Zea mays: one gene and its partner. The main gene of each other region encodes a partner of the protein of the gene in region 2 in a complex. Links are inferred from orthologs where the notes say so. Each region holds a gene or a part of one and is shown on either strand. Other genes may lie near its edges.

What was found. The genes of interacting proteins can lie anywhere in the genome.
Region 1: the proteins of NADH dehydrogenase [ubiquinone] 1 alpha subcomplex subunit 6 (region 2) and Acyl carrier protein 2, mitochondrial are in contact, whole or in part, in a cryo-EM structure (PDB 8BEE), measured with the Arabidopsis thaliana proteins. The link is inferred for Zea mays from reciprocal best matches to the Arabidopsis thaliana genes AT3G12260 and mtACP2. Residues at the interface, in NP_566416.1 of Arabidopsis thaliana: Phe27, Asp28, Phe30, Arg31, Cys34, Arg35, Arg56, Tyr57, Ser60, Ile63, Arg64; in NP_176708.1 of Arabidopsis thaliana: Phe61, Gln62, Asp82, Ser83, Leu84, Asp85, Val87, Glu88, Met91, Ala92, Glu94, Glu95, Glu100, Ile101, Asp103.

Annotation. Positions count from the first base shown.
Region 1 is NC_050104.1:154,582,982-154,588,974, reverse strand, and holds the start of Acyl carrier protein 2, mitochondrial, read left to right. Parts: upstream 1-2,079; 5' UTR 2,080-2,203; coding exon 2,204-2,422; intron 2,423-5,993. UniProt on the Arabidopsis thaliana protein: Carrier of the growing fatty acid chain in fatty acid biosynthesis. May be involved in the synthesis of short and medium chain fatty acids.
Region 2 is NC_050096.1:4,115,541-4,121,475, reverse strand, and holds the start of NADH dehydrogenase [ubiquinone] 1 alpha subcomplex subunit 6, read left to right. Parts: upstream 1-2,454; 5' UTR 2,455-2,628; coding exon 2,629-2,841; intron 2,842-5,935. UniProt on the Arabidopsis thaliana protein: Accessory subunit of the mitochondrial membrane respiratory chain NADH dehydrogenase (Complex I), that is believed to be not involved in catalysis. Complex I functions in the transfer of electrons from NADH to the respiratory chain.

The sequences.
Region 1 (5,993 bases), on a different chromosome or scaffold from region 2:
AAGACCCACTTGAATACCACAGTGTTTTGCTTGCTTTTTCTCAATCCCGTTTGCGAGGAATCTCCACAACTTGGAGCCTCTCGCCCTTACACTTGAAATTCATAAAGAAGCACGGAGCAAGGGAGGGATTAGAAACGCACTCAAGACAAGAAATCACAGCAACACCACGCACACAAGTCGCAACGAGAGCTCACAACACAACTCAAAGAGTTCACTACTCCACTAGAGCTCTAAATGCTATTGCAAAGAATCAAAGGCGCGGAATTGATGTCTTTGTGCTTAGGAATGTTGTAGGAATACTTGTTCTACTCCTCCATGCGCCTAGGGGTCCCTTTTATAGCCCCAAGGCAGCTAGGAGCCGTTGAGAGCAATCTGGGAAGGCAATTCTTGCCTTCTGCCGTCTGGCGCACCGGACAGTCCGGTGCACACCGGACACTGTCCGGTGCCCGATTTCTTTCCTTAACTGGCGCAGCCGACCGTTGGCAGCCAGAGAGCCGTTGGCGCACCGGACATGTCCGGTGCACACCGGACAGTCCGGTGCCCCCTTCTAGCTGTTGGTTCGGCCACGTGTCCCGCGCAGATCGCGCGGGCGACCGTTGGTCTGGCCGACCGTTGGCTCACCGGACAGTCCGGTGCACACCGGACAGTCCGGTGAATTATAGCCGTACGTCGCCGGTGAATTCCCGAGAGCGGCCAGTTCGCCCGAGCTAGTCTGGCGCACCGGACACTGTCCGGTGCACCACCGGACAGTCCGGTGCTCCCAGACTGAGCAGAGTCTTGGCTGCTCGAGCCAAGACAATTCCAATTCGATTTTTCCTGTTTCCAGCACTTAGACACAATACATTAGTCTCTAAAACAATGTACTAAGTCTGAGAAACATACCTTTATCCTTGATTTGTACTTTGCCCACCATTTTACACTTAGGCACTTGTGTTGGACACTAAATCACCAAAATACTTAGAAATGGCCCAAGGGCACATTTCCCTTTCACCCATAGATCATATAATCAACCAGAATTTAGGTTTTGCTTTAGATCATTTCGTCTTTAAACTGTCACCATTATTAGTTTGTAAAACCTCGTATTCAAGTGATTAATCATACATTTGTGATTGCCAAGACTAATGAGAATGGTAGATGCAGACTTGCTTCTATGAAAGCATCAATGAGACACTAACCTTACAAATAACAAACATCAACTGGATGTGATCATCATTTATGAAAGCACCAATGAGACACTAACCTTACACTAATCAACATCTTATGTCTAAAGGTGATGGAACACCAACATGTTTGATAATTAAGGCAGGGCCATGAAGTAGGCTTTGAGAAGGACCAATGACCATAGGAGACTTAACCATTTCTCAAGCCCGAGCAATGATGATATTGAATCCTTAAAAGGTAAAAACATGCAATTAGATAGATTTCTCCAAGACCACGCCAACTCAAGATGAAACATCACACCTTTGTGATTTTCTAGCTGGACTGCAAACGTTAGGGCTTCCTCGAGCTTTATGGACGAGAGAGTGGAGAAACAATACCACCTCGAATCAGTATAAACAAGAGTGGAGAATTACCTAGCACCATTAAAAGAACCACATCAATCTCCTATATGAAAATATTAATCAATGTGAGGTTGTAAGTAGTGGATTTGTCCTACAAGAATTGGATGAACTCAAATAAATCATCGGATATCGATATGTGAACATTAGCTATCCATAGCCAAAGAATGGCCCCATTGGCAATCACCAACTGGATGCGAGTTGGGGGACATGTTGAGAATGTACCATATAATAAATTTATGTCTCAATCATTTTTATATGAGACCTATATTTACATCAATCATACAAAGCGTTATACTTGTGGTATATTTTACTCTTTTTTATTTAAAATGAAGCTGGAGTCCAATCAATCTCTGTGAAGACATATCAAGGAAAACAAAGAAAGAACAAAAACATAAGTTTGTTTTCTTTCGAGGAGAACAAAAACATGAAACGAGAAGACAAATGAACAGTTTGACGGGCCGGCCCTGACAAACCTGGGCCAAGAATAAATAGGCCCATAGACTTGTATATAGGGTCTAAAGTGACTGAAAAGTCCCGCATGTTCTCCTGCCTCCGCTCCGCCGCCGCAACAACCATTTCCTTCTCTAGCCGCCGCCTCCGATCCCCTCCCGAGGCTACAGAACCAGTTCATCCAGGCGCGAATGGCGGCGGCGAGGAGCCTGCTTCTGAGGCACCTCCGCTTGGCGGCGGCCCCGTCAGCGGCGTCCGTGAGGCCGACGGCGTCGTTGCATGAGGCCCTGTGGGGGCAGCGGTGGATGTCTTCGGAGGATGCCAAGGGCTCTTTCCTGGACAAGAGCGAGGTCACTGAACGCATCATCAAGGTCGTCAAGAGCTTCCCGAAGATCGATGACCCCTCCAAGGTATAAACATTGCTGTCACACTCTCCCTACCGTTGGCTAGCTGGGACAAGAGGTGTTTGATGAGATCAAACCGACAATCGAATGGAATCCATGCAATAGCTTCTCTCCGAGAAACAAATGTTGTATATAAACCTAGACGGAGCTGATTGTTGGATCTATTAGCAGTGTGCAATAATGATAACTTGATAAACATTTCTATGTGTTCGATTAAATTTCGAAGAGTGGTTTCAGTGTGGCAAAACGTGTGCAAGTTGTGCTGTTGTTACTAGTGTTACTTCAACTTGAGTTTGTTCATTAGTGTGCTATGCAGTACGGATACAGATAGACGTATCAGTATCGGAAGGATACACATATGTGGATATGGCATTTATTCAGAAAAATGATGCACCTATACATTTTATTTTTTTAATAAATAAATAAGAATGCAAATTAAAATTGTAAAAGTCAAATTGGAGGGTCCATCTATTTGATGCACTTGCGCCGCACTACCCAAATTTGGAGATGCCATCTATTCAATGCAAGCAATCAAGCATGGGAAACACTAATCATGAAGGCTGAAGGAGATGTGAGGAACACACAAAGTCAAGCAAGCAGAACTGCAGAAGTTGAGTAGATCAAATATGAAAAAGTGATGTGCTCATGGAAGATCGTCGACAGCTTGCTTTGCTGCTGAATCGTCCTCTTCCATGCACCCACCCCTGCATCGTGGGAAACTGGAAACTTGCCGCTGCCATGGCAGACTAGTGGGTGCTCCCCATCACGGTGCTCCTGGCGCAACGGTTCAGAGAGAAGTTGATTGATGGAGCAGAGGGGGCAAGAGCTTCTCTCTAGAGGCCGGCGAGCCGTGCCGCACCTCCTGTGCAGCGCACGTGTGCGCAGCAGGCGGCGTGAGAGGGTGGGGGCTCGTCGCCAGCTGGCGGCGGCGGTAGCTGGTAAGTGGTGACACATCTCTAGAGCTGGAAGCAAGCGCGTGTATGCGCAGGAGGCGGGCACTGTGCAACCATGCCAGGCCTTGGGGTTAGGTATGGGAGATAAGGGAGTACTTGTTGGGCTAGGCTGTATTCCATAGGCTGATACATATCAGGTCACATACTCTATATTTCCTAATCTAAACAAAACTCGGGTACTCGCAGGATATGTATACAACCCGTATCGGTGGTGTATGCGTATCAAATACGTATCTGATACGCGATACAACACCTTCCTGACGTATCTGTGCTACAGAGTTAGCATGGATAGTTCATCGTTGGTACACTTTAGCCAATAGCCTAATACTTAGGGCAATTGCCTAATTTGTTAAGAAATGTTTTATTTTCTTACTCAAATGAAATTTAGAAATGACTACTAATGGAATGGCATGTTTTTCTTGTGAAAACATGCATTAATGTAACATTGGGAGTTTTCTATATAGTTTTTGTTTAAGTTTATTTGTTTATTTGGGATTTTTTACGGTCAAGATTTTCATGGGTAAATCAAGCGGAACACTACTAGGTGCTGATTTGTTCAGTGTAAACAGTTGCTTGGATAGTTTCAAGAGATCAAGGCCCTGTTCGGCATCCAGAAGCGTTTTGGATTCTTGCGAGAATCGGTAGAATCACTGCCAAACAGGTTTGATGAGAAACATTTCACTCGAGAATCACTAGAAACATTTCTCATTTTTATGCCTAGCAAGGAGAAACACCTGCTAGCTGGTTTCGCGTGATTCTGATTATTGGCCCCCCTTCTGTATAAGCAACCACAATTTTTTAGTTAGTTCTTTTTAAGTGAAATAAGTTAAAATAGGCTGTATTTAGGTTATTCACCCATAAAAAGTTCTGTTTTTAAGAACATTTTTATTTACATGTTTTTTTTATAAATATATATTTTTTGAATCAGAATCTAGTCTACCAGCCAAACGGTTTTACGAAGTGATTCTGATTCATCACCAATAAACATTTCTTGAGACAATCTGGATCTGAAATGTTTCTGTGAGAGTTTGAATCCCTACCAAACGCACCCTAAATTGATTAGGAATTAGCATAGCTATATTGAGATTCAGCATCAAGAAACCAAATGAAGAAATCACTAAACAAACACAAGTGTCTACAAGTGAAACCAGTTAGCAGGCTTAAACTTACATAGACTAACATAAGAGCATCTCCAAGAGCCTCTCTTAAACTTATTCTCTAAATCATCATTTGGAGAGCCATTTGAATAAAAACCACGCTCTATATCTTTTCACTCTCTAACAACTTTGCTATATCTCTTGCACACTCTAGAGAGCCAACCCCGCTGTCCATCATTGGCTGGCAAGAAATTTGGAATAGAGAATGTCCGTATTTGGATATCTAATTTAAGAAGTTGGAGTTTTTTTTCACCAAAATATCTATTCCTATGAATTAGGAAGGATATAAATAGGTTCTTGGAGTTGCTCTAAAGTCTGACTAACCTTAGTGGCTATGGATTAGGCAGTTGGTTCAGTTATGGACAGTATTCTCTTATACTTCTGAACAAGCACTTGAGCTGAGGACTTACAAATTTAAGGGGATTGAAATTAAAACTAGATTTTTTTTACTATAATTAGGATGAAGCTAGCTACCGCATGAGAGCTTCTCTTCTTTGTTTTCAAATCTCACTATTCTCTGCTTGCCTACTGGCAGGGTAGCACTTGTGAGAACATGAGAAATCAAGCATTTAAATTAACTCAGGCTGTCAGGCTTTCAAGTTGCTGAGCATATCGATATTCTCAATATTTGTAGGTGCTCTAGCTACTTAGCTAGTGTGAAGACATGAACGCCAGCACTTAATATTAATAGTTTCATCATGATATGAGCATATCGATATTCTCAATATACTGTATTTTTAGCCTTTTTTCATACAATGTAGAAGATATTATACAAATAAGAAGCATTCATTTACATGCATATAAAATAGCACATAGTACAATGTAGTAAGGAGTGACAACCTTTCGTTCTTTATTTCTTTTTAAAGAACCTCAGTCGAATTATTCCAGGTTACAGCAATACCCGTGGTGTCTATTTAATAGTTCTACATTAGCTATTTGTTACAGAAGTGTCTAATCACCATCTTATGCCTGCATTGGTGTAGTTCATGCATAACATCATCAATATATCCATTCATGTAGTTGGCCAAGCTCATCAGGGAAATCATGAGATGCAGCATTTGTTACCTTCGTCTTGTGTTCCTGTCTTCCTGATGCTCATTTGTTGCGATCAATGCATTGCCATGGATATGAAGTTTCTGCTGTTGCTTTTGTTGGCATTGTTGCCTACTCAGTTTTGCACAACTGGTCCTTGGAGTTTCAGTCTGCCCATTCATTTGGTTATATGCCTCTGCACGTGGCAAGAAAACCACATTTCCTCTTTTGCTCTGTTTTCCTGGTCGCAAAACAGTTAGTTGCTGCTTTGCCAGAGCAAATCTTGGCAGATTAATGGCTCCTTTCATTACTCTGTCGTTGCACAGAAGTATCCATGTTTTCATTATCTTGGTGTTGTCACTGCCGTTAGCGATGTGAATTTATTTTCGCAGCCTATAGAGTATAGACTTGTCGCTTGGGGGGGGGGGGGGGGGG
Region 2 (5,935 bases):
CGTGTCGCGGGGGGACGGCGCTTGCCTTCGTCTCGAACGCGAGGTCGACGCCCGGCGTGCCTTCCGTCGGGGCGTCGGGGGCGTCGATCCGCTCGACGGCCGACGAAGCGCGGCCTCCCGCTTGGCCTTGATGGCCCCGCCTCCTCCTCCGTTGGCGGGGGAGAGGACGGAGCGAGCTCGAATGTTGTTCTTCCACCACGCGGGGAAGATGTCGTCGATTCCGCCGCCGGCGGGCGGGTTGTCGGCCGCCATTGTCGTTGTCGCGCGGTGGTGGAAGGAGTATCATGTCGTAGCTGCCGTCGAAGGACATGAACTCAAGACTCCCGAAACGGAGCACCGTCTCGGGCCGGAGAGGTTGCTGGAGACTGCCCATCTGGAGCTTGACGGGAAGCTGTTCGTCAGCACGCAGCAGGCCCCTACCTGGCGCGCCAACTGTCGGTGTTTCGAGACAGGGGGGTCCCTAAGCCGACGAGTGAGTGTGCTGCGTGCCCCAGCCCAGATGGGTCGAGCGCGTGGGCGAGCGCGAAGGGGGGAGAGGCGAGGTGGCCGGAGACGGGCGTGAGAGAGGTGGAAGTCCCGCGGCCTTCGTGTTCGTCCCGCGCCCAGGTCGGGTGCGCTTGCAGTAGGGGGGTTACAAGCGTCCACGCGGGTGAGGGAAGCGAGCGGCCCCAGGAGAGCGCCTGTCTCGTCCTCGTCCCCGCGCGGCCAACCCTCTCTAAGAGGGCCCTGGTCCTTCCTTTTATAGTCGTAAGGAGAGGATCCAGGCGTACAATGGGTGTAGCAGAGTGCTACGCGTCTAGCGGAGAGAGAGCTAGCGCCCTGGGTACATGCCAATGTGGCAGCCGGAGAGGTCTTGGCACCTTGCTGGCGTGATGTCGTGGCTGTCGGAGGAGCAACGGAGCCTGGCGGAGGGACAGCTGTAGGAGCGGTCGAGTCCTTGCTGACGTCGCCTTGCTTTCGTAAGAGAGCTGAGAGCCGCCGTCGTCACAGAGCTTGTGGAGCGCCATCATTGTCCATCTGGCGGAGCTAGCCAGATGGGACGCCGGTCTTGTTCTCCGTGACCTGAGTCGGCTCGGGGTAGGATGATGATGGCGCTTCCTGCTGACGTGGCGGGCCTGTGCTCTAGGTCGGGCGACGTGGGGGCTCCTCCGAAGCTGGGGTCGAATCTGTCTTCCGTTGCCGAGGCCGAGCCCGAGCCCCCGGGTCGGGCGAGGCGGAGAGCGTTCGGCCGAGGCCAGGGCGGAGTCCGATCTCTGGGGTCGGGCGAGGCGGAGTTTCGTCGTCTTCCGGGGCCGAGCCCGAGTCCGAGCCCTGGGGTCGGGCGGAGCGGAGTTCGCCGTCTTCCGGGTCTTAGCCCGAGTCCGAGCCCTGGGGTCGGGCGGAGCGGAGTTCGTCGTCTTCCGGGGCCGAGCCCGAGTCCGAGCCCTGGGGTCGGGCAGAGCGGAGTTCGCCGTCTTCCGGGTCTTAGCCCGAGTCCGAGCCTTGGGGTCGGGCGGAGCGGAGTTCGTCGTCTTCCGGGTCTTAGCCCGAGTCCGAGCCCTGGGGTCGGGCGGAGCGGAGTTCGCCGTCTTCCGGGTCTTAGCCCGAGTCCGAGCCCTGGGGTCGGGCGGAGCGGAGTTCGCCGTCTTCCGGGTCTTAGCCCGAGTCCGAGCCCTGGGGTCGGGCGGAGCGGAGTTCGCCGTGGCGCCTTTGGCAAGGCCTGACTGCCTGTCAGACTCACTCTGTCGAGTGGCGCTGCAGTCGGAGTAGCGCAGGCGGCGCTGTCCTTCTGTCAGGCTAGTCAGTGGAGCGGTGGAGTGACGGCGGTCACTTCGGCTCTGCCGGGGGACGCGTGTCAGGATAAAGGTGTCAGGTCGCCTTTGCATTAAATGCTCCTGCAACTTGGTCAGTCGGTGCGGCGATTTAGTCAGGGTTGCTTCTAAGCGAAGCCAAGGCCTTGGGCGAGCCGGAGGTGTGTCCGCCGTTAAAAAGGGGGGCCTCGGGCGAGACGAAAGTCTCTCGAGGTCGGCTGCCCTTGGCCGAGGCTAGGCTCGGGCGAAGCGTGATCGAGTCACTCGTGTGGACTGATTCCTGACTTAATCGTACCCATCAGGCCTTTGCAGCTTTATGCTGATGGGGGTTATCAGCTGAGAATTAGGCGTCTTGAGGGTACCCCTAATTATGGTCCCCGACAAGTAGGAATTCATCACTTTCTAGATCCTGAACCCTATGGACAACTTTATTTTTCTCTGCACGTAATTCTAATGATACTTAGATTCTCTACACAACCAGATTTTTCCTACAACCAGATTCTTAGAAAAGCTGGTGAGAAAAAAGCTGAACCAAATAAGACCGATACTCACTGCGACCCCAAGAGAAGAACAAAACTCCATATTTCTATTTTTTTAATGTGAGAAATACAAACCTCCATATACTTATTCATTTCGTGTAGTAGTTGTATTAGGCCTCCCTAAACTGCGTCGCCCTCTTTCCGGCCCAACCACGAACCACTCCTCCTACAGAAATCACCTGCCGGCCTGGCCTTTCCGTAGCTACAACCGAAGCCACCACCAGCAGTCCAGCACGACTAGCGGAATAATATCCACCGGCGACGGGAACGGGAGGCGGCGCGGCCGGAGATTCGAAGCGATGGCGTTCACGATGCGGGCAGTGAAGGTGCCTCCGAACTCGGCCTCGCTGGAGGAGGCCCGGCACCGCGTCTTCGATTTCTTCAAGCAGGCATGCCGCTCTATCCCCACCGTCATGGAGATCTACAACCTCGACGACGTTGTCACGCCCTCTCAGCTCCGCTCGACCATCGCTAAGGAGATCCGTAAAAACCAGAACGTCACCAACCCCAAGGTTCCATCCCGTTCTCTTTCTCGTCCCCCCTCTCGATTCGATCCCTAGGTCCGAGTCGAAACATTTACTTTGACTGCTTCTCTGATTTGGTTGCTGCTCGATCTGAGGGGCAGTGGAATCCGACATATGTTCGGTTGATTGGGGCTTGGAATCGTTCTTGATTGCCGCGTGGACTTGCGGTGTTTCATTCGAAGACAGTTACAGTATTGTAACCTGCTAGGCTGCTACCCAATGTTATAAACATAAATGTTTGATTGTGCATTTTCTTGTCACTGTACACCATAGTAAACTGTGAAGATGGCTATCAACATGAATCCTGCTAAAGGAATCATGAAAATTTGATACTTTAGGTGATCATTACTGCCTTACTGCAATTACTATGTGCCCGCGGGAACATATAATACCATGATAACTTATTATATATAAATGTGTTATACTGTTATGAGAAAAGAGTTTCGTAATCTATTTGTGATCCTAGTCATACATTTTTTTTGTTATTTTAATCTAGTTCGGTGCACATACGTTAGGTGTGTGGCCATATGGAGCTCCTCTAATTTTTTTCTGCATTTGGTTTAATTCTTTGATGCCTAATAAAGAATGGTTGTTCGGATATTGTAATATTATTTTCTTATAAGCACTATATTTGATTTGGTTCTCTCTCTTCAATTCTTAATAAACAATAATTCTTTCACGGTTCTCTCTTCAATTCCTAATAAACAATATACAAGCAAAATAGCAAAAGTACAATAACTAAAACTAAAACAGTCGGGTGTAGAAGGGTAACTCATATAGTCATATAGTCCCTAAACTGCAAACATGTCAAAACTGGTACTTTAATGGTGACAACAGAGGCGTGCTCCAAGAAAGAGTGGCATTTCAGACACCTTGCTGATTCAGATAGCAGGTTTGAACTTTGAAGAAGTACATGTACACCAGGCTGCACAGGCATACCACATTACCACCTAGCTGCTCTTCATTTGTCTGTCGAGTCTGAGGTTATGTGACTGCAAGCAGGTATGACCAGAAGAAAGGTAATGGAATCAGGCCAGACCAGCTATTTTGTCTGTCGAGTCAGAGGTTGTGTTTTATCTCAAACTTTAGTTAGTGATCATAAACTCTGTTCAGTATCGCATTATTATCATACAGTGCATGAGCTGCAACCTGACATGATTCACATACATTATTCTCATCCAACAACTAATTTACTTAGAAGAAATGTCATCCAACAAGTAATTTATTTAACAGAAATGTCATCTAACAAGTAAATTTGAAGTTCAAATTTTGATAAAAGAAGTGGTATATGATTCAAGCAATCTGATTCTACGACTACATGAAGCAAATCATCACAATGAAAAGTTGATCCCACGACGACGGTTTATCTCACTTCGTAGGCTTCTGTAGTACTGCTGCTGATCTGCATCCATTCCGCTATTGCCCACTTTCATTATTCTTCCTCTAGGCTCTAGCATTCTCTTCATATGCATACATTTTTGTTCATTTGCAACCCTTGTGCGCTCTATCTCAAGTCTCTCCTTCTCAATTTCTAGTGATTCGTTGAATCTTTCTTCTTCAGTTCTTTGTCTACATCAGCTTGTTTCTTTTTCTCCCACAAATTATCCAATGCCTCAATGTAACCATCAGCACCACCTCGGCGTAATAGTTGCTTAGCCTTCTTCCTGCCAATGGGTCTTGTAGGTGCATCACCCTCTGGAGTTGCATCGCCATTTAAGTTACCAGTCAAATCTATAACTGAAAATGTTGCCTTCTGTTTCTTGCAACCAGATTTTGTTGAAGCTAATTGATTCATCTTTTCATTCCACTTTGGTTCAAGTCGTAAAACATTCCAGCAGTGTATGAACTGAAATGACTTGTTATCTTTATCCTCAGCTTTGTACAAAGAGTATGCATTAGTGAGCTGCAGAATTCCAAATAGGAAAACATGAGTTTCATGTATGCATATTAAGTACAGCTAAGACAGTAACTAAAATTAAGGCATTAATTATTTTGTACCTTGTTTTCAAAAGTCTTTCTGCTTGCATTCCTACCCTCAATCCAGGACATACAGCCACAAAACTTATTCACACACTCTTGGATCGAGGCCCAGTGATGCATAAGTGAATTTTGGTTGCGATCTGGAAGAAATCATAGACCCTTGCCCAATAAGTAGAACATTTTTATTTTGTCCAATAAGAAACACTGCAAAGACTTGACAAAGTTAAACATAATTTCCAATAAACTGGTCGTAGACGAAATAAGTGCTTGATATTGATATATATACTAAACAGAATTACCGATATCAACTTGGACATAGCTAAACAGAACATGCCAACCCAATAAACAAGGTCATACTGAAAAACACGTGGTGGCATGCCATCACACAGCAAAATATCTAGAAACGAATGAAAGTCATTAAAAGACAATGATTAGGATATGTGTTTGACAAAGAGGGGAAGATGGGGAGCTAAATTCAGAGTTTAGTTGGTATCCACAATATTATTTATGAATCACTCATCTTAGGCTGCTCCATGGATCAGGGTGTAGCTACAAACATGTTTAGCTTGGTGCTGTTTGTTTGAGAAAGAAGCGAGGATCCACTGAAGATTTTATTGCTTGGCATAAAGAACTCTCACCTTTTGATTTATTTTCAGAAATTTGGAGAGATAGTATAGGGGGAGTAAACGATTATTAGTCAATATATAAGGAATTTGCTACTGACATCTAGCTAGGAACTGTTTTTTTCAAAGATCTGCTAGTCGCTGTTTTGGCAACATTGATGGGGTTCCATTCTCATTATAGTATTTTTGTGACTTTCATCGGGAAATTGGTAACAAAGTCCTTTATCTCCAAATTTGCCTTTGTTCAAACAAAGGGTTCTGCCTGCTTTCAAGTTTTATTCCTGAAAGCGCAGTAGCTAGTACTTGGCACAATTTGCATATTTCCAGTCTAGTTCATATTCCATTGTCAGGTTTAACTGTTCAAGCAAAACAATCCAATTAACATGCCTGACATGCATATTTCTTGGGTCAAGTTTCTAGCAACCTAGCATATGATAACAATACCCCATTACAAATATTTTTTGCCTACCATAGATATC